Tribolium castaneum: one gene and its partners. The protein of the gene in region 2 interacts with the protein of the main gene of each other region in a pairwise test. Links are inferred from orthologs where the notes say so. Each region holds a gene or a part of one and is shown on either strand. Other genes may lie near its edges.

Region 1 (8,093 bases), on a different chromosome or scaffold from region 2:
ACATATTTTTATAAACTTTTAGCAAAATAATTACGTTTTTGGCCGAAACATTTTCCAAGTATAACGCAGAAATTATGTACCTTTCTATAGTTTTGTAATTTCTCAGACTATTACGAAATGTTTGTACTTTTTAGTTTAAAAATGTTTTTAAGAGCCCGAAAACAACATCATTTTTGACAAGATTCGATAACGTTTTGGATATTTTGTGAAGAAATTTTGCAGAATAATTAATGTATAGCAAGGTTATATCTAACATTTTCGATCCAATACAGTAGAAAATGTAAAAATTTACTAGTGTTTGAACTAATTTCGTTTTTTTAAATTTTTTGCGGTTTTTTCTTTTTCTCTTTTTTTATGTTCAATTTAAATAAAAACAACTACTGATACATTACAATATTACTATGATCCACTCAAAAATATAAGATTGGACACTAATTTTAGAACGCAGAGAGTTTAAATTTTACGTAATTTAGTGATTTCTTGTCCCATTCTATTGAATTTTTTTAATAGAAACTTTAGTTAAAGAGTCGTTCAAAATAAGTTGTTTTCATCTTAACTATAGCACAAAACTTTCTTTAAAACAATGATATGGCGTCTTAAGTTATAAACGTTTACTCGTTTTTAGGCAAAAAATCAACCGAAATAAGCTATTTTTATCCAAATTATAACACAAAACTTGTCTTTTAAGCCATAATATGGCATTTTGACTTAGTTTTAAGAAAGTTAACTCTTTTCTAAGCAAAGAATTGTTTGAAATAAGTCGTTTTCATCTAAACTATAACATTTTTTTTTGAGTTTGTTTTATACCAGTTTACTAACTTTTAAGCAAAATTGTCCGAAATAAGCCGTTTTATCCTAACTATAACACTATTTGTTATAGCTTGCATAAGACGTTTTCAGTTTGTTTTGTACAAGTTTTCTTGTTTTTAAGCAAAGAATCATGCGGAATAAGCTTCTTTCCACCAAAGTCAAACATAAATAATTTTTTCAACTAGAATAAAACATTTTCTGTTTGTTCTATGAAAGTTTTCTTGTTTCTTAACAAAAAATTATCTGTAAATTTTATTTAAATTATTAAACGTATTGTTTCCTCTTTCCCGTCATAGGTCTTTCTTTTAAGCCAGAATATGGCGTTTTTAGTCTGTTTTAAGAAAGTGTACTCATTTCGAAGCAAAAAAATAGTCCGAAATGAACCAAATCAAACCAAATTATAACATTATTCGTTCTTTTGAAACTGAATAAAGCATTTTCAGTCTGTTTTTTTTAAATAAAGCAACAAATCGTCCGGAATAAGCCGTTTTCATCTAAACTATAACATAATTTTTTTTATGCTGAATAAGGCGTTTTCAGTTTGTTTTATATCAGTTTACTCATTTTTAAGCAAAAGTGTCCGAAATAAGCCGTTTTTATTCCAACTATAACACTATTTGTTTTTTTGAGTCTGAATAAGGCGTTTGTAGTTTGTTTTATAAAAGTTTTATAAAAATAGTCCGAAATAAGCCGTTTTATCCTAACTATAACACTATTTGTTTTTTTTCGAGCTTGCATATGGCGTTTTCAGTTTGTTTTGTACAAGTTTTCTCGTTTTTAAGCAAACAATCATGCGGAATAAGCTTTTTTCCGCCAAAGTCTTACATAAATAATTTTTTTAACTAGAATAAAACATTTTCTGTTTGTTCTATGAAAGTTTTCTTGTTTCTTAACAATGAATTATCTGTAAATTTTATTTAAATTATTAAACGTTTTGTTTCCTCTTTCCTGTCATACGTCTTTCTTTTAAGCCAGAATATGGCGTATTTTTTCTGTTTTAAGAAAGTGTACTAATTTCTAAGCAAAAAAATAGTCCGAAATGAACCAAATAAAACCAAATTATAACATTATTCGTTCTTTTAAAACTAAATAAAGCGTTTTCAGTCTGTTTTTTTCAAATAAAGCAAGAAATCGTCCGGAATAAGCCGTTTTCATCTAAACTATAACATATTTTTTTTATGCTGAATAAAGCGTTTTCAGTTTGTTTTATACCAGTTCACTAATTTTTAAGCAAAATTGTCCGAAATAAGCCGTTTTTATTCCAACTATAACACTATTTGTTTTTTTGAGTCTGACTAAGGCGTTTGTAGTTTGTTTTATAAAAGTTTTATAAAAGTAGTTTAAAACAAGCCCTTTTATCCTAACTATAACACTATTTGTTTTTTTTGAGCCTGCATAAGGCGTTTTCAGTTTGTTTTGTACAAGTTTTTTCATTTTTAAGCAAAGAATTATGCGGAATAAGCTTTTTTCCACCAAAGTCTAACATAAATAAGTTTTTTAACTAGAATAAAACATTTTCTGTTTGTTCTATGAAAGTTTTCTTGTTTCTTAACAAAGAATTATCTGTAAATTTTATTTAAATTATTAAACGTTTCGTTTCCTCTTTCCTGTCATACGTCTTTCTTTTAAGCCAAAATATGGCGTTTTTTGTCTGTTTTAAGAAAGTGTACTCATTTCTAAGCAAAAAAATAGTCCGAAATGAACCAAATGAATCCAAATTATAACATTATTCGTTCTTTTGAAACTGAATAAAGCGCTTTCAGTCTGTTTTTTTCAAATAAAGCAAGAAATCGTCCGGAATAAGCCGTTTTCATCTAAACTATAACATAATTTTTTTTATGCTGAATAAGGCGTTTTCAGTTTGTTTTATACCAGTTTACTTATTTTTAAGCAAAAGTGTCCGAAATAAGCCGTTTTTATTCCAACTATAACACTATTTGTTTTTTTGAGTCTGAATAAGGCGTTTGTAGTTTGTTTTATAAAAGTTTTATAAAAATAGTCCGAAATAAGCCGTTTTATCCTAACTATAACACTATTTGTTTTTTTTTGAGCTTGCATAAGGCGTTTTCAGTTTGTTTTGTACAAGTGTTCTCGTTTTTAAGCAAAGAATCATGCGGAATAAGCTTTTTTCCACCAAAGTCTAATATAAATATTTTTTTTTAACTTGAATAAAACATTTTTTGTTTGTTCTATGAAAGTTTTCTTGTTTCTTGACAAAGAATTATCTGTAAATTTTATTTAAATTATTAAACGTTTCGTTTCCTCTTTCCTGTCATACGTCTTTCTTTTAGGCCAGAATATGGCGTTTTTTGTCTGTTTTAACAAAATGTACTCATTTCTAAGCAAAAAAATAGTCTAAAATGAACCGTTTTCATCCATTATTTAACATTTAACATTATGTGTTCTTTTGAAACTGAATAAAGCGTTTTTAGTCTGTTTTTTTCAAATAAAACAAGAAATCGTCCAGAATAAGCTGTTTTCGACCGAAGTCTAACATAAATCATTTTTTGAATTAGAATAAAACATTTTTTGTTTGTTCTAAGAGTGTTATCTCGTTTCTAACCAAAGAATCGTCCGTAAATAAAAGTTTAAGCGTGTTTAAGCACATGATAAATTTGCACAAAATGTAATTTACACTCAGACGCCCTAACATACTAACGTTTCGTTTCCTCCTGTCGACCATCCTCAGGCCTTGATCGGAAACCTCAAGAATGCACGGTTGCGACTCCGGATCGCTTCCCGAATTTCCGATAACCCTCCTCACGGCTTGACAAACCACCGACGTCCCCTTGTGTGCTAACGTCTCCACCGACCCCAAATACCCCAACAAATACCGCTCCCTCCTCCCGTGCTCACACGATGAATCCCAATCGCTGTAATCACAGTCCACTGCATAAGCAGACGGGAAAATCCCCATCCTCCCCGTCCGCAGATTAACCCCTAAATAATAACAACACGATCAGTTTTATCGCAGCGCTCCAGCGCTCAAAGTCCCACCTTCCGACCAGAGATCGTCCGCCTCCTTCTGCACGTAGATTGGGTCCCCGATTTCCACCTCGATCTCGTCATCGTGTCGGGGAACAAACTTGTGAAGTCCCCGATGGGTGGCTTCCAGCATTTCAACGTCGTTGTACACCAGGCCTCCGTCGACGCACGAAGGCGATATGCCCATGATGGGCGACATGGATTTGAAACCGTCGGTTCCTGTGGGAGAATGGGCCGTGCTGTGGCCGCTGTCGGCGTCTGTGATAAGGCGCTCCGAATCGGGCGAGTCTGTGTCCCATAGATATCCGCATTTTAATACTAAGATTGAGCTTGGTCCGCTGCCTCCTCCCCCTGTACTGCCTAGTTCGTCTGCGAGAGACATTTCTCGAGATACGTGGTATTGTGCATTGTACATACTGACGACAGAAGCTGCAAAAATACACTGGTATATAATAAAGATTTAAAAATTGTTGGTAAAATGACAAGTGAAAACACTGTCAGTGAGTTTGACACGAAATAAAATGGTTAATAATTTTGGTGACCAAAGAGTTGAAAAGATAGTCCGTAAGGCGTGTATGTTGTGTAGTGTAAACTATAGCTGGTAAAATTCTCCGTAAATATTAATTTTTTCGCTTTGATTGCATTTGAGAAGCATTAACGTTTTTAATGTTTGGCAAAAATGGTGGATGCGCCGAGATAATAGTTAGTTTTGTAATTTGCCGCCATTTTGATGCTTTAATAGACATCTTAAAGCACTCAACATTATCAAGTGCAAAGTTATAATAGTCATTATTTGACTAAACATTTTATGAAATTTTTTATTTTGACAGGAACCAAATTCGCAACCGTATTTTTGTAAATTTCTTAAATTTCAAAAGGCGTTTTTGCAAGATTACCTTTAATATCATCCATACTCCTGTTTTTTGACCCAATTTGGATAAAAAAAAATGTTAATCAATTTATTACTTTCAAAATTGCGACATTACCAATCGTCAAAAAAGTCCCTAAATCTGTTAAAATAACAATTTTTGTTTAAAAACGGCAAATTACAAAAAATAGTCTAAAAAAATCGTTTCATGAGACTTTGAAGCACTCATTATTTCAAAAAATTTGTGGCCAATGCCACTCATTTTTGAAACTTGAATTCGTGTTTTAAGAATGATCTTATAAAACTTATTTTTTAATATCCTATTATTTAACGAGTTTGAGTGTAAATCGAATGTTTTATTTCACGAGTGGATTATCAAACCACGAGTGACAACAAGTGCTTTATCATCTACAAGGTAAAGTAAATGAACCGATTTATACAAAAAAGAGTTGAATACAACATTTTACTCATCTAATTAGACTCAGCAAGGCTTAAAATTGCTTTAAATCTGTTAAAAATAATCTGACGTTTTGTATTAAGAAACGCCAAATAGTTGTCAAAACTGTCTTACACTGGAGGAAAAACGAAAGTTATGACAGTGTCGAAAAATAAGATATTTTTATACCCATTTTATCAAAAAAATTAATGAGTAATTTACAGTATGCATTATTTTTCACTGAGCTTTAATATTTCTTATCTTTGTAATAACAAATAATGCATACTGTCAATTAATCATTTATTTGGTTTTGATAAAATAGGTAATAAACTAATTTTCCCAGCGCATCCACCATTTTTGCCAAACGTTGAATTCATTGTTACATAGAGTGTATAAAAGTAAATTTTATTGAAAGTAGGATTAAAAAAAAGAATCAAACTAGAAGTAACACTGGACTGACAAAACGGGCTATAAATTAGTAAACTCTTTATTCAAAAAAATCTTATGTTTTAACAAAATGAAACTACAACATTAACATTTATAGGACACTATACGAGTAGACACTCTGTGAAGAACAACTGTTTTAGTTCAGCTTAAACTTATTGTATTTAGCAGTGCTGTAATCGGACGTCACAGGTATAAACAACCAGTTACATGTGGAAAAAAAACATAAATATTTGTATTAGTGTAATTTCTTGTCGACTTGTTTTACAAGTGGTTTGTCATGAAGTCGTCTCAGGCAATAAGATGAGAATTATTTTAACAAACTTTATACGTTCTACTTGTTGCTTAAAAAATATGTATAAAGAATTAAACTCTTTGTAATAAAAAAAAAATTGAGTTATTTTACCTATGTCCAAATGTATTTATAGCCTCGATAATACGAACAGATGCAGTAGCCCTGGACTTTTAGTGTTTACACTTTTGAGATTGTACTGTAGTTTAAAATTTTAAAGTTATCATTTTTTACAAACTAGTGTGCAAAAAAATACGTTATGGACGTCCGTAAAGCCTAGTGATTTTCAAATAAGTTATACTGTATTACGGACTTTAGCTATTTGTTGTAATAAAAAAATTTATTGTCTTCGACATATTTCATGATAAAAACTCCAGATTTTTGTGAGAAAATTAAGTAAGAAATTGAACAATTTTAGAATAAAACAATATTGCTGTAGCTTCAACATCAATTTGATAATAACCAAAAATTTTGAGTGGTTTTAAGTATTTATTTTGAAATTTAGAATATAAAACTATTAATTTCTTTTATTATTGAAGTTTAAAAAAAAAGTGACAAAGCTACTTAGTTGCTAGAGGACACTAGCTGAGCAAAATCTTTTGCAGCGAAGCATTTAAATATTAGATGTCGCTCATAGGTAAGTTTTTAATTTCTTGCTAAAAAACGTACCCAAAAAATCAAAATTTTTTCTAAACTATATCTACAGATACATTTTCTTTTATTTATTAGAGGTTGCTGATAAACTGAAACTCATTAATTTATACTGGAAAACTCAAAAAATTATTTTTTCAAAACTCCAACAAGTTAAAGTTTCTGGAATTCTTAGAAATGCATATAATATTATTTGGAACGATAAAGTTTTTTATTTTCAGAAAATTTTTATAAACTAAGGAACTTATTTATCCTCGAAAACAAAAAAGAAATTTTTTCAAACTCAATCTAAGAGTGTTTTATGAACTTTCCAATTTCTTATGAAAGTCGAAGTACTAATGTTAGTATGACTATTAAATTAAATATAGAACAAATCTATTTTTTCTGATGAATTTATTTAGAAACAAAAATGACAATTTTAAAATTAGCCTTTATTTTAGAAAAATTTGAATCTTGATTCTATTTTTTCTAAAATCTTATTAAGTAATATAATAACAAAAGAGAAGATGAAGGAATTTGATCTTACTAATAAGGGTACAAAAACATTTCAATGTATTTTGACAAAAAATACATAATAAATAAAGCTTATTGCAAATTAGTTTTCTTTCAAATTAAAGTTTTTATTCTTTTTCTACTTTTTGTCAATTCATTTACCAAATCTTTCTATTATAGACTTTTCAAAAAAAACTCATGGTTTATAATTTTTCTCCTGCAAATGAAGTGGTCATTTCATCATCGGTCAGTAGTTTGAATTTTAGCTTTATTAGCTAAAGTCGGCACTTATTAATATTTTTGAAGAAAAAGTTTATAAAGTTTTCAAATCCTCTTAGATCTACCGAAAAAAATAACCACTTATTGTGCCCTATTATAAATTTATTAGAAATATTAATTGAAAGCTTCTGAAAAGCAAGCCTAACTTTCTTAATTTTTTCACTGTAATCTATTTTTTAAACAAACGTACGGTAAAAATGTATTAGATTTTTTGGCTGTATCAACTACGATTTGAATATTAACATGAAACCTAATTGCAGATTTTGTCCGAGAAAATGTGTTGAGACAGTTCGTGTACAGTCCTAATTAAACCAAAAACTTTTGATAAGTCTTTCAGTAAAGTCAATTTATGAATGTAAACTTAAAGTCTATTCATTAAATTTCCAGCTATTCTTGTTCTAGACAATCATAAAGTTTGATACAGCAGTTGAAACATTGATATTGATATTGATTTGCCTTCTGCTTTGAGTAAAGTAATTCATTATTTTGTACAAGAGCTTGCAAAGTACCTACCAGTGAAAATTAATTTCTTTTACAAGTCAATGGAGTGGGTAGAATATCAAATTAATTTCTGTGTATTTTTTTTTGGTTTTTGTAAAAAAGATTAGAACTTATTATCAGAGTTAACTCTTAACTGAACTAATTTTATTAACAAGTGCACCTTAAAAAAACATTTTGAATATTTTTGTTTTATTTTATTCAACCTGACCTTTCCCACAAATGATTTTCATAATCAAGTTAAAAGCAAGTCAGACTAACAAAAATTGTGTTTTTTGCAAATACCGGAATCGAAAGTGTGATGTGAATTCCCACTTACGTTTCTTATTTTTCGGGAT
Region 2 (7,891 bases):
AAAACTGAGATAGGTATAGAACGTGATGATAAAAATTACCATAAATGTCAACTTTAGTTCTATTGCCGTTAAAAAATATGGCCGTCCCATTTTAAAAAAACATACTAGCCTTGAATTTTGACAGTTGACAGTTTTGTAAATTCTAGAAGGCTCTTCAAACATTTAATTATCAAAAAGAAACTGATCAGTCATGTTTTGACAATTGTCAAAAGTATGACAGACTATACGAAAAACATGTCTGTAATTTTTAAAGTTATTTTCGTATTTTGTATTTTGTACAAAAAAATCAGGTCACTGTAGTACAGTAAAAAAAAGTACCAACTTTAACAACAAAAAATTACTTATGGTAATGCCAACCTGACGGCTTTTTGACAATTTTTCAAGTTAGGAAAACGAAAATTTTGCCAGAAAATTGCCATACGTCATAAATAATTTAAAATTGGCGCCAATTTCTAGTAGCTCAGTCATTTTGAGTTCAATCTCTAGCTGCATTATTGAAAGTTTGAAACGTAGGCCTTAAGAGAGAAACGCTGTCACATATTATGGAGGGTACCATACATCTAGCTACACTCTTCCACTGTAAAATTACACCAAGGCAATGTAACTCCACAGCTCGCCTTAAGATTATACAATAAGTGTAAAACATGGACTGGCTGTCATATGCAAAAATTATTACTTATTTCATAATTTTTAGACTTGGAAAATACGTTTTTGCATATGTCCGAATTATTATTATCAGTTGCTTAGTTAAGTACACTGTAATAAAACGAATGGAATGACGTAAAAAATACCAACCTAACCAACCAAACGCAACCAAATCGTTTATTACTCCTTGACTTCGAAATATTTGTAGGTGGGATTTTCGTAGCCATTGATTTGCATATTGGCCACGTGCCGCTCCTCGGGGGTGGCGGCCTGGTCCACCTCCACGAAGCCTTGGCTTTGGGGGGAGCGTGCGGACCTGCGCCGTGCCACCCCCACCCCCACCACCACGGCGGCCATCAGCGCCATGCCGGCGAAGGCGAGAGTGAAGTAAACACTTTTGCCGTCTTTGCTGCCGTACACCTCACGTCGGACTGAATAAGTCTGGAAAAAAATGTGATACATGACGAGGCGAAGCCGAGTGTCGTCCACTTACAGGTTCGCCGTGGCTGATGTCATGCGCCATTGCATGGGCGACTCGGATCACGTCTTGTTTGTGGACCACGGCGGCGACGTCTTCGACGGCTTGCTGGACGGCGGCGTCGTCCACGGCGTCGCGGTGGCTTGTGGTAGGGATGGAGTTGCTCACAAGGTCGAAAGTTGAGCTCCCGGTGGTCGAAATTATTGTTGTCTAAAATGGACAATCAAAAAATCAAGTTTGAAGTTGTCGGCCATTTTTAAATGGCGGACAAGTTCGCTTTAAAACTTATTTTTTCGCAAAAATTACTCAAAATTACCTAGAAATTCATCAAATTGACGTTGTTTAGCTAGTTTTTTAGTAAAATTTCGGTCCAAAATTACCTTTTTTCAAGTTTTATTGAAACTATGTCGGAAAAATATGCTTTTTTTTTCAAAAAAACCCACCCTTTCTTCTGGCAACGACTCATCTTCCATGTCTTCATCATCAAAATTGCTAATCTTCTTCCCTAAAACAGCCTCAACTCTCTTCTTCTCCTCCCTTAATTCCGACCGTTCTTTCTTCCTCTGTTCCTTCCTCTCCTTCTCTTGCAACCTTTGTCGTTCTCTCTCTGCTTGTTTATTTGTAACTTCTGATTTATATTTATCCAAAATCGCAGCTTCAGCTTCAGTTGTCATCGCTAGAAGTGATCCAGGTGTTTCATCTTTTGATCTCAAAGCTTGGATGTAATCATCCATTAATTGACCGATTTTCGTCGCCAATTCTGGATATCTTTTTAACATTTGCATGCTTTGATTAACCGTACGATCAATGTCTGTTAAACGTTCGAGAATGCGCGGTTGTTCACGAGCTGCCGCCTCCAAACTACTTGCCAACAGATGGCGGTAGTGGTTAATAGCATGAGCTCGGTCTTTGTGAAGAGAACGGAGCAGTTTTTCCAGGCATTTCTGCACACGATGGGTCTGCAATCAAATAATTAATTGAATTAATTAAATACAAAACTGAATAACTTTATTATTTTTTTTAAAAGTAATTCAAACCGTAGATATTTCTGAATAAAAAAAAATTGACAGTCACAATTTTGACATATGTCATCGTAAGGGTAAAGCGATAATTTTTTTCAATAGATTTCGTCAATTCATTTAAGAAGATATAAGGTTTGTTATATATTTTTTTTACAAATAAAAATATATATAACTGAAACACCCGGTATATACATATATTTTTACTACAAATTCTGCAAAAAAAATGTGTTTATTATTATTATAATTGTCGAGTCGAGGTTTTACTGTATTGTATCGCACAACCGAGGTTTTACTGTATTTAAAAAAAAATTGCGAAACGAATTGATTCGAATGTAGCCATAAACATGCATTAAACATTCCTTTTATGACTTCAAAATCCATTTGATGAAGTTGATGAAAATGTGCAATTAGAGTTAATAGTTCTAACGAGAGTTGTAAATGAAAATTTTAGTTCTAACTACCTCCATGTGTAGTGTTTCTGTTGCATTTAAACGCGTACAAAAACATTTATTGTAAGGATTTTCCTGTGCTATAAACAAAAAAAAATCACTAAAATAATGTTGGTTGGTGCTGCTGGTTTTGCACCTGTCATGTCAAATTCCAATTTAAAACTGTCAAAAATTTGAGAATATTTTTGGTGTTTTTAGAAACTTAAAAAAACACAATTCTGTCATTTTTTTAAATTATCTAACATGAAAATAACTACAAAATTACTCACATTGAGAGGCGCATCATTCAACGCTTGTGTATAACAAGTCATGGCCTCCTTCTTCCTTTGATTAATATGTGCTAGGACTCTTTGCTGATGCATTGCTGCCAACTGATGTTTCTCAGCATCGCCCTCTTCTTCAAGCGCTTGCACCGTCTGTTGAAACCTCTGCGTCATCCTCTGCTTGAACTCATCAGCTCCACGTGGATCCGTCTGTCTCATGTCCTGATACCTCTCCTCCAGGTCCGACCAATCCTTCATAACCCTTGTAACTTTCTCCCTGTGTGTCTCCTCCAAACGTTCCTGCGCCTCCTTGTAACTCTGGTGCTCGTTTCTCGGATCGAAATGCGTGAAATAGGGGTCTGGGGTCGGCACTGACGTCGTCTTCGCCGTGGTGGTGGTGGTGGTCGTGGTGGTGGATTGTTTGGACGTCGTGCTCGACGGGGTGGTGTCCCAATCCGAGTCGTCGTATTCGTCGTCATCGTCGTCCTCGTCGTCGATGTTGGGGTCGTCGGCGAGCTCGGTGTCGTCGGCGAGGTCGTCCAGGTCGTCCTTGTCGTCGTCTTCGTCCGAAGTGGAGTCATCGTCGTCGATGGTGTCGAAGATGTTGTCCTGGTCCTTTTTCAGGATTGTTAAGTCCAGTGGCTTTTTCGGCTTCATGTTGTCTGGAATTTTTACTTAATTGGCATTTTTTTCAAAACTGTTAGGCGCAGGATCGCGATTTTTCGTTCAAAACGTAGATAATAACACTTTTTTTTATCTTCTGGAGCATAATTTAAAAATTCGGCTGAACAAATCGTTTAGTTTTTTTTTCAGTTTAATGTTGTTTGAAAATTGCGATTTATTAGACGCGAGGGAAGCAAAGTTTTAGTTATGTGGATAAATGTTAAGTGTCTCGAGAGGGAAACAAGTTGTGAAATATGAGTAGTTGGGTTTTGTCTCCGATTGAATTGGATTTTAATTTAGCTAGGTTTTGGGGGTTTACCCAATTTGGAAGTCAATTCGTTAAAGCAATTTGGGGGAGATGGATTGGATCAGTGGCTGAATTTAAATATCTGAGTATCAAAGGAAGAGGAAATTTTTCCAAATGCCCGAATTTATGACTTATAATAATTTTACCCCCTTTTTTATTTTACTAATTACGGAAAAACTATTCGAAAAAGTGGAAGTATTTTGACGTAAACTTATGTAAAATGATCCGGGGAATCGACTGGCGTCGAGAAAATCCCCAAATTCCCAATAGTTTTTTAGTTATGACGCTTTTTTTTTATTTTACCAATTTTTCAAAAACTATTAATCGGAGAAGAATGATTTTTTTTGTAAAAGATAGATAATTAAAAGAGCTTTCCAACGATGGTAAATTTCGTAGGGCTATCTCTGATAGTTTCGGAGTTATTGCCCGATAAAGGTAAAAAAAATCGCAAAAACTGTTTAAAAAATGTCTTTAATTGTTTGAAGGTAGAGTTGTTTTGTAAAGAAATAATAATTTAACAAGCGAAAGACCGGCTTGAAACCGCGTCACAAAAGTAAATATAATTCCGGTCAAAGCTTTTCCATCATAACTCCATTGTGCTTGTGAAGTAAATTGCAGCATGTCACATTTAATGCATTAGAGGCCTTAAACTTTGAAATTACATCGGTTATTATTCTCGAAAAACTCATTACTTGTGTGCTAAAATAAATAAAGTTTTTCTCGCTGACCGCCGCCTATATTTCTGATTCTCATTCAGCTGTAAATTGGGTTTAATTTACGAACGAACGAACGCATTTGTGTCATAAACATACGTCGAATCTTTGAATGGCCGATTATCTACATTCAAAGCATACATAACAGTTGATTAGTTTAACGTCGTATTTGTTCCACAAGGGGTTTGCTTCCTATCACCAAAGCTCTGACGGTGATAAATGAAGCTCATTTGATTTAGAACTAATGCGAATTTGAACTATAACAAGTGGGGGAAAAAACGAAAGAATTATAAATTCATTTTAGAGGGCATGTCTCGGGCAGATTTATCGACTTGAACCACTAATGGAACCGCATATTGACTGAACTAACACTTTTTATGTTTCCAATAGATTGAATTTCGAACCGTTACACGGGATTGCAACCTGAGCGAGCTGTTCGATACCAGTTATTTGCAGTGCTCCTCAAATTCACAAAAGCAGCACCGAAATTCGCAAAAATAATTTTTCAAACCTGTTTTAATAAAAATACAGACTAGATCTATACGAAAATAATAAATTTCCGGACTAATTTTGCAATTATAACGATTGTTCAACGATAAAAATGTGAGTTTTTTTGTGTCCCGTCCGTCATCAGTTTGTAGATTTCTTATTCCTGCTCGCTTTTCAAATTTTAAAAATGTGGCTCTAATTGTAGGTTGCTAACAATTAATAATCTGTAAAAAAATTCACTTCTACTGAATAAAATTTTGTGTCTTTAATTAATAAATATTGTGAAAGTTGCAACAAGTGAAAAATCCGGGCATATGGTGCGAGTCCTCAACGCCAAATTATTGATAAACTCGCTCGAAAACTTCCTAATCCCCTAAACTGTTGAACTAGAGTATCGCGATGTTATCAAGTGTTGAGACTAATGAGAGAAAATAAAAAGCTTCGTCCAAGTTTCGAGAGCTAATTCTTTATTGCGCAAAAATAAAAAAGGAAAAAATTTTATATAACGTATATAAGGTGTGAAAGTTGTGCTTGAACGATAGAAAGTTATTCGCACGGAAGGAAGGAAGGAAACAAAGCGATATAATATGGGGTGTAGTTAGGTAGAAGAACTTGCCTTTGAAGTGTTTGGGACAGCATACAAATTCCACACCACTAAACAAAGAAATGCCACAGGGAAGAAGCATAGCAAACGATCGAAGTTGGAGTCCTCGTTCTTGGCAAGCGTTGCCTGCAGTGGCATTCCAGCGACCGAATGTCCAGCAGTTGCTCTGGTTGTGGATGTGGTCGAATAAGCAGTTTTCGGGCACTAGGAGAGCGTCCGACTGGAACGGACCCTCTGGAACAAGCAAAACAATTTTTTTTTAACTCACTCTAGCAAAGTTTTATGGACTTTTATGTGTCTTTACAACCCACTAGAGTTGTTAAAAGTCCACAAAAAGTCCATATATTCGATTTTTTGATGTTTGATTTTTTCAATTTTCGTCGCAATTTTGGTCGATTTTGGGTACCCGGAACATTTGTCGAGCAATAGCTCCGGAACTATCAGAGATAACCCCATGAAGTGTATTATCGTTGGAAAGCTCTTTGAATTATCTATTTTTTTCAAAAAAGATTATTGTTCTCCGACTTATAGTTTTCGAGCAAATTGCTGATAAATGCAAAAATTGGTGAAATTTTAAAAAATTCATAACTAAAAAACTATTGGGAATTTGACAATTTTCTTGATGCCAATCGATTCCCCGGATCATTTTGCATAGGTATGGATCAAAATAGTTTCACTTTTTAGAATAGTTTAGCCGTAAATGAGAAAATAAAAAAAATTAAAAAAAAGTTAACACCCCCCCCCCCCTTAAAATCTGTCATTTTTTAAAGTGTCTCAAAATCAAATAAAACCGATTCTATCTTATAGATTTTGATGTGCTCTTTCCGATCTAAAAAAGCGTTTTCTCCCAGCTCTTTTAGTTTGGCCGTAATCGGCGTTTGAAAATTGAAAAATTTTTTTGCGAGATATCGCTTTGAGTCCTATGCTATTTTGTAGAGCTTTTTATTCCGGTTGTCCTCGATTTTTCCGTTTTTCGATAACTCTAATAGTTTGGCCGTAATTGGCGGTTGAAAATTGAAAAAAAGCGAAAATGGAAACCTTTTTTTGCGTTTTTCTCGGAAACTGTAAGACTTAGAGCAACGAACAAAAAATCATTTGATAGCGCTTAATTTTCTCTATTTTTTCGATTAAACCCGGAGCCGCTCCGGGCAACGGTTCCGGCTACAGAGGCGATCAAAGTTTTTCACTAAAAAAATTCATAAAAAAAAAACTAAAAGTCGTAGAGCACTGCAGTTTGTTCCATTGAATTCAGCGGCTCATTTTACATATTATATCAATTTTTCACAAGAATTAAAAATTTAAAATTTTTTGCTTAAAATTTCCTGAGTCACTTACCTTCAAAAAGGTGAAAAAAACCTTTTTTTTTAAAACTCGTTCTAGTATCCTTTTATGGACTTTTATATGACTTTACATCCCTCTAGAGTTGTTAAAAGTCCACAAAAAGTCCATATATTCGATTTTTTGATATTTGATTTTTTCAATTTTCGTCGCAATTTTTGTCGATTTTGGGTACCCGGAACATTTGTCGAGCAATAGCTCCGGAACTATCAGAGATAACGCCATGAAGTGTATTATCGTTGGAAAGCTCTTTGAATTATCTATTTTTTTCAAAAAAGATTATTGTTCTCCGACTTATAGTTTTCGAGCAAATTGCTGATAAATGCAAAAATTGGTAAAATTTTAAAAAATTCATAACTAAAAAACTATTCGGAATTTGGTAATTTTCTCGATGCCAATCGATTCCCCGGATCATTTTACATAGGCCAAGCCAAAATAGTTTCGAATAATTAAAAAAATAGAGTTTTTATTAACTTCGTACAACGTATGTATTAACAGTTTTTGTCTTACAAATTACATCCATAGCCCCACACAAATTGAAAGAAGTTTCCCCGAATTAAAATGACGAGTTAATTAGAATTTTGTGTAGAAAATTTGCTCGCGCGAAATTGTGCACCATTTTCCTCCGAATAAAGTCATTACATTGGCAATTTACATTTTCCGTGGCAAAGCTATATACCTAAAAGTTGATGAAAAAACTCTCCGTTCATAAACTCTCTAGATTGTCAATAACAGAACCATTATGTTGGCAAAAATTGAATTCGTTTTCTTAGTGTGATGTCTCGACTGAAGATTTACTGAAATAATTTAATACAGAATGCGGCTTGTGGTTCGGGTAATAAATCCGTGTCTTGGTTACACCACAAGATGACACTGTGCATAATTGTTTATAATTTATCACGAGAGACTGGATTTTTAGC
Region 3 (7,234 bases), about 6.3 Mb from region 2:
TTCTAATGAAAGGCAAACCCAGCTGTTTGGAAAACAATTTGCAGTAGAAACTTGCCACTTCCATACCGAGACGGCATTCCGTGCCCCACAAACCCATTACGTGAAATGTTCAACACAAATAATTACTTGCAATAATGAAATATAAATTATCCCAAATGAAGGGTTCCTAATTCCATCTTATGAGAGAACGATTTCAGTTTGGATTAAATGGTGATTTTTTAATGTCAAACCGAAATTCACATGTAATTGATTTTTTCTAGTTAATAATTAGAAAATTGCACTCTCTTGTTGATTTTATAATTATTGTTTGTAATTTGGTAAAAAACTGAATTCGGTAACTAGCAGCCTTTCGGAGACATTAGAAAATTTTCTCGGATTACTTTCACTCTATTAACCGCCCCTTCTCTGCCAGGTTAATAGCTTAAAAGATGGGTAACGTTTGCTTGATATCTCACGAAGAAAAAAGGATTAAGTGTTAACGAAAACGCTAATGGCCCATAAAAGCCCCCACTTTACCACCTATCAAGTTGCAGCGAGCTGTGAAAAATCCGGGGCAGTGTTTATCACCCTAATAAAAATTAAAGGATTGTAAAAAACTGTTGAATAATAAACTCGTAAACTTGTGAGGAAACTGAGACACTAATTTTCATTTTGCTGGTAACACCAAGTACAAAATTTAAAACTTAATTTAGTTTGTTTTGCTTTCTAGTAAAACTTGTCTATCGTGGAATTAATTTCGGCAACTAATAACACTAATTTTGCACAAAATGTTCTCTCGTAATTGTGAATTGGGTTGCATAAGCAGTTGCGCAAGTGCAACATCCATAAATGTTCATATTTTTTAAACACTTTCAAAAAAGAAAAAGGAACACCCACTGGCTTATTGAGTCATGTTATAAATATCATGAATATGAAACCCGCCTCCGCAATGCTTCTGAACAAGAGGCACACGTGTGGTAAGTAAATCAATTGTTGTCGGGTCCATTAATCAAATGATTTTAATTTCTTCGTGGGGGTTTTACCGATTTTCTTCGCGTTATGCAACCAATAATACACTGTTTCAAAACCCGATCGTGAATCGTCATAATCTGCACCCGCACTATAATAGTACTTTTGTGCCATTATACCGCTCTAGCTCATTTACATAATTATGAAAATTCGTGTTAAACATTTCACGTAGCGCGCTAAACGAAAATAACGACCGGTTGAGATTTGGGTCAAAATAAGCCGAGTTTTATCACAAACTTGTAATTTGACTTGTTAATTTTGATAAAAGCATTCTTTTCTTAATTAAACGAAAGGGTGAACGATCCGTTCACTTTTACTCCAGTTTTGGATCGTTTCCCTGATTCCTGAATGGAATTGAAAGGTGAGTTTGGTGCACAACGGTCCAGAAAACGTATTCTACCCACTTAGTTATTGTTATTCCAGTAGAAGTAAATCACATTAAAGTTAGATTAGCCGTAGAAACGAATATGTAATTAGGTATGCGTTGGTGAAAGGCGATTTTTGAGTCGGGCTAATGAGGCGGTAAAACACCTCGTTAGACAATTATTTAATTGCGGTTAATTGCACAGCTCGTCGCCGGATCTGGGGCCACTGAAGAATCCGACGAGAAGATCGGCGCTGGAGGTGTTGCAGAGATCGACATTGCGAAGGGGGCTGGAGTGGAGCACCATGGCGAGGGAATCCCCGGACCCATCACCCGTTTGTTTGTCATTGCTAATCGCGGTCTCGCCAACCTCGTACAAGACTTAATCTTGGTAAGAAACCCTCATAATAATCCCTACTGAACGCTGATTCGTTTTTTTGTTGCAGCGTTTGGCCCAAACTAGCGAAAGATTAGTCAATTTCAAGGCTCGTCTTGTTACATCTCTCATCTAAGCAAATTACATCGCCATCGTAATTTAATCCACCTCGCTCATGCAACACCTTCACGCATTGTTACCACTATTGTAAAAAACAAGCATGGAGCTCATTATTATAAATTAATTTATCAGTTTCTATTTTTGTTATTTTTTATTTAAATTTTTTGTATATAGTGATAACTTTCTTTTCGCTGTTCTTTTAACACGTCATCATGTGGTCGTCTTGCCATTTCTTCCTTAAATTTTGTTATTCTTTTTCTACTTCTTCACTAGCTTTAAATTTTAGCGTAAGTCTCTCTGTTAAATTTAGCTTCGCAGTATAAATTACCAGATGTATATAACCTGAACAATTGCTCAGTTTGAACTTACTACATGGAAATGTAAATAGAAATTTCTTCATCATGGTGTAGATTATTGTCTATTTTGTGTCTCTGTAAGTAGTGTACATAATTTAAAAGGAAACACAGGTTTAAAAATTTTGATTTTTTTATGAAAGTTACTGTATGTTGTATTTTTTATAGTAATTATATTAAAAATACAAAATTCTTTAAAAAATGTCAGTGTATTTATTAGTTTGAGTGGAACTAAGTCATCATCATCGTATATGGTTCTTGTTCACTATTTAGTATTAGTAGTGTAATTAAATAAAATGAACGCTAGCTTTGTATTAGGTACTTAATTGCTTTATTCCATATCAAAAGCTACAATATAATTAATTATATCATAAATACAATAAAAAATGTCATTAGTCTAAAATAATAACTTTGGTACTTAATTTCTTACGAACTAGAAAACGTAATGAATAAAAACAATGTCGGGTCTTGAAAAAATTGCTCAGTCTGTAGTTAAGTACTGCCAGTGCTGCTGTTAACAAATTCGGATACACAAGTGCTTTGGTAGCGTTACCTAAACTATCCTAATTAACTATACAAAATGAAACATTTATACATAATCCCTTTAGTTACACACATAACACTGAAGCTGTACACAAACCACCAATCAAGTTTTTTCCAAATTGCACAGAAACTTGACTCGGCGTCTGGATATAATACTGAGGCTAAAATAGTTATGAAATTTAAGCTACAATCATTTGGCACGCGGTCTCTTTAAAAATATAGTAGTTTACAAGAATTGCATTGTTGCACTATGTTTTAACTGTCATGGAATGAGTGAAGCTCTCACTTGAAAACACAGATCTTAAACGGCCGAATGTTTGCCGATTATTTCGCCCGATTTTGAGTAGACGTGCTTGCCGTCGAATTCCACGGACATGGTTTTCTCTCCTCCGTTCATGTGGGCGTCCTTTAGAGGCTCACGCTCTTCCTCCCTAGGGAACAATGGTAATTGAGAAAAAGACACGAGCAAGGTGATATCATGCTGTTACAGCTAGACTTTGACGAAATTAGATCGGAATTTGGCGCAATCGAACAGATTCCAAGGCGGGTGAAAATTGAAAAACGACGGAATGTGCAACTTTAACAATCAATTTAGGGCAAAAAATTGGATTCTCAGATTGAAATTCTTTCATATTTTGACCAATTTTATTTTTTAAGGTGTCGTAAGTTGTCTAATTCTTGTCCAAAAATCATAAGTGCTTGAAAGTTAACGTTAAAAAAGAGAATATAACAAATGGTTAAAATTAAATTAATTAAAAGATTAATTATTAAGGTTATTCCAAATGAAAAACATTTACATGTAATAGTTATTTATTTATCCGACGAGTTTTAAACCACGAGTAATAACGAGTGGTTTATCAATTATCATCCACGAAGTGTAATAAATGAACGGATTTACACAAAGACGAGTTAAATACAGCATTTTGTTCTTCGAATTACACCCAACAAGGCCTGAAATTCCTTTCAATCTGTTAAAAATAATCTGATTTCGTATTGAGATATGCCAGACAGTTGTCTAAACGTCCTTAGCAAAAAAAAAAAATTGAAATTGTGAGCACTTACGAGTCCAAATTTAGAGACATTGAAATAAAATAATACTACTTACTACTGGGTTCTAAGCTTTTAATTTCCAAAACCAAAATTCCATTTAAAACTTGTGAAATGTGAGTGATTAAAATTTAAACACTGTGTTCTTAAAAACACTTCCAAATAAATTAATTATTTGTAAAAAGTAAAAACGAAATTTTCCCTCAGTGTGTTGTGTTATTAACTGTTTTCCTTGTGAGAAAGTTTCGAAACTTACCTTTAATTTCCTTTTGTTTTTCTGCACAATAATAAATTCTAGTTTATGTAACTGATAATATTTAAATGTTTCCAAATGAATAAAGAAAATACATCGTCGTAAAACATAAAACTCTTAAACAAACTGTCTCTAACTTAAAATTTAAATTTACAATTTCTGATTTTGACATTAAATTATAATAATTATTCTATCGCTTTTTAACTCTTTTCAATAATTTTTGTTTCTTAACAAATTTTTTTCTGCACAACGAACTCAAGTTTAACTTATTATAATTTGATTTCAAATGAGAAAAAAATCATAATTCAGTAGGACACAAAAGTCTTTAGCGAGCTTATTAGTACCTGAAGTTTCAAATTTGCATTTCTTGATTTTTAGCTCCGAATTTCAATTATTCATTCGTTCTCAAACGTTCTTAATATTTTTTTCCTTGTAAAAGCAAAACAGAAGAGACCTTACATTCTCCTTTCTTGTTCTGTACAATGAACTATAATAACGTAACTATTAGGTTAAATAAGAAAAAAAAATACATTGAGGTAAAACAATAAAGTATAACTAAAAATTTGGCTTTCAAATCTTTCGATTTCAACTATTCATTAGTTCTTAAAAAAATCATCAACGTGATTAATGTTTAATTTTTCCTTGCAACTGCCTTTAATCCCTTTGTTTTTCCGCACAATGCTCGGAAATTTACGTAATTTACATTAAAGAAAACATTTGTTTACAAAACAATACGTTTTCATTCGACTTGAAATCTGTTGGATTAAATACGCAACAAATGTGCTACAAGAGCAAAATAACACTATTAGCATTGCGTCCTTCCCCTGTATTAGTCGTCTGCAACTAAAAATACGAAGCTAAGCCTGTACAAAAATTCCTGGTTCGTTTTGTGAGCGAATATTCGCAGTCACGGCGACAATAATAACAGCATGCTTTTGCATAAACCACAACATCCATGCATTTGGGGCATGCAACCAACCATCAGATCCTTACATTGGTGATGGTGCCAGTTTGACAGGTAGGGGCAAGTTGAGACTGTTGGGATGCGCCGGGGCAGCTTTGTAACTGCAATAAGGCAGCGGAAATCGCCAACTGTATAGACTAAAATTTCCAACGAATGTATAATGTGATGTGTGATGAGGGACAAAACGTCACAAAAGCATGTGTTATTACGGGAAACAAGCACTCATTTATGTACAGATGTGTGTCTTAACAAAAACATGAGACATACCTTCCTAGTTTCGGGTCCTCTTCATGGTGCTTCGATCGGTTTCGATCGCAGATAAACGCGAGAATCCCCGCGCGGTTCACGCAAAAACAGATTAAGTCGACGAGAATTAGCACAAGAATGACTGCTCCCACCACGATTCCAATTATTGCGAAATTAGTGACTGAAGGCTCGTTGTAGGGCACTGCAGGGTCGATGCCTAGCAAACAAACCAAAATTAAGGCAAAATCACAAAGTGGTGGCGTTTTAAGCGTATTTAGTTGGTTAGTTGTGGGTTAAAAATGTGGTCACAGGCCACATTTTTAACAAAATGAGCGCATTTATTGTGAAAAGTGTGTTTGTCTTCCACCATGTCTACTATTCTAAGGACAGCTCATGCCGGTTTCTAACAAAAACTGCTCAAAAATTATTAAACTCTGAAAGTGAAAAATAAGTAAAATAAAACTGGGGTCTTCACATAATCCGTTTTTATTGTGTGACTGTTAGTATATTACACACGAAAGAAACCTAGAGGCATGCAAAGCAAGATTAAGAAGCGGGTCAGATCTACGGACAAATCGTGGCCAATAGGTGACCTCGGCTTTGCCCAGTTAAGATAACAAGAAGCTACGTACATTTCCGTCAAGTCGTTTTTGTCCCTTGTCGTTTAAACACATGAAAAGCCACTTTCAAATCACTTCACAAAAGCACAACTTAAAAAAACAACTACGGTTTAACTCATTTATTGATATAAATTGACATGTTTTGTAAATTAAACTATTACAATGAGATTGATTTTCGTTGATGACTTAAGTTTATTGTCCAATTGCGACAAAAACAAAAAATAACTACAACACAACTTCAAAGTTTTTAGATTTGGACGAACAAAACACAACAAACAACAACGAAATCTAAAAACTTTTAAGTACAAAAACATGCACACATGCAGATATTTAACTAAGTCTGGCACAGATACGCACGCAAGAGACGTCTGTTGTAGCAACAGCCCTCAGTCTTGAATTTCGACATAATCCTCTGAATTTCAACAATAAAATAAAATTTTTCCACTACTACAAACACCTCTGCGTTTTTTTGGTATTCGTAAAATTCGATTCAGAAACGAGGGTTCTACCCAATACAGTTTATTTTAGTTGGCAGTAACAACTTAGTGATCAACAATTTAAATCATGCGCATCCAATTCATCCAACATTCATACGTGACTACGAGCAAATGAAAGAAACGGTTAGTAGAAGTGAGAAATGAGGCTCAATAAAAACGGATATGACATTCAAAGCTGCATCTCTGAGAAACGTATTAAAATAAAATGTCAGGCATGCTTGGTCTACTGAAAGTCAACAATAACAACGCGATGGAATGTTCAAATCATGCGAAAGAAGCGGTTTCTATTTCTATTGTACAATAAATTAACGAAACGACTAATTGTTCCAAGCAACGATGCGTGATTAATACCATTTAATATTTACAGAATTTATCGATTGGGAACACATTTAATTTCATTAAAACCCCTGTAGTGAAACAGTCAACTTTTCCTCTATTTAGCACCGATTCGTATAAAACGCACAAAACACTACGATTATAGTCATTGAAGCCTGCAGAGGGATATAGAAAGATGCACTTGAAGTCGAGCTCCCATAAAAAACACCTGGAGGGAGGGCATTGTTAAAAAGATAATACACACACACGCCACAAAATAATAAAACGCCACATGTCGTGGTTTTTATTATTTTGCACGGAGACACACAACAGAATTCTCAAAACAACCTAATGAAAAACATAAATGGAATTAATTCGAGGCTGGTTACACTAATTGGCGCGGAATTGAACTCGGTATTGTAACTGTAATAGTACTCCCGACTCTCACCTCTGGCTGTTTTCACTTTGATTTGAGCCGGTGAACTTGAACCGATTGAGTTGTGAGCACGCAGTTCGATTTTGTAGAAC

What was found.
Region 1: the proteins of amyloid-beta-like protein (region 2) and Aplip1 interact in binary tests that used the Drosophila melanogaster proteins (3 or more experiments, as listed by UniProt). The link is inferred for Tribolium castaneum from reciprocal best matches to the Drosophila melanogaster genes Appl and Aplip1.
Region 3: the proteins of amyloid-beta-like protein (region 2) and Fas2 interact in binary tests that used the Drosophila melanogaster proteins (3 or more experiments, as listed by UniProt). The link is inferred for Tribolium castaneum from reciprocal best matches to the Drosophila melanogaster genes Appl and Fas2.

The regions. Positions count from the first base shown.
Region 1 is NC_087394.1:6,460,655-6,468,747, reverse strand, and holds part of Aplip1 (JNK-interacting protein 1), read right to left. Parts: coding exon 8,075-8,093; intron 4,225-8,074; coding exon 3,808-4,224; intron 3,751-3,807; coding exon 3,470-3,750; intron 1-3,469. UniProt on the Drosophila melanogaster protein: The JNK-interacting protein (JIP) group of scaffold proteins selectively mediates JNK signaling by aggregating specific components of the MAPK cascade to form a functional JNK signaling module.
Region 2 is NC_087402.1:657,657-665,547, forward strand, and holds part of amyloid-beta-like protein, read right to left. Parts: intron 5,868-7,891; coding exon 5,646-5,867; intron 3,520-5,645; coding exon 2,864-3,519; intron 2,083-2,863; coding exon 1,567-2,082; intron 1,334-1,566; coding exon 1,139-1,333; intron 1,087-1,138; coding exon 826-1,086; 3' UTR 1-825. UniProt on the Drosophila melanogaster protein: During development, plays a role in the regulation of the neddylation pathway. Appl and APP-BP1 interact antagonistically during development.
Region 3 is NC_087402.1:6,965,107-6,972,340, forward strand, and holds the end of Fas2 (fasciclin-2), read right to left. Parts: coding exon 7,155-7,234; intron 6,936-7,154; coding exon of another isoform or gene 6,829-6,935; exon of another isoform or gene 5,999-6,828; intron 5,492-5,998; coding exon 5,296-5,491; intron 5,166-5,295; coding exon 5,058-5,165; intron 3,196-5,057; coding exon 3,066-3,195; 3' UTR 2,530-3,065; downstream 1-2,529. Other genes in the region: uncharacterized protein LOC100142371, read left to right, coding at 1,578-1,763, 1,819-1,884.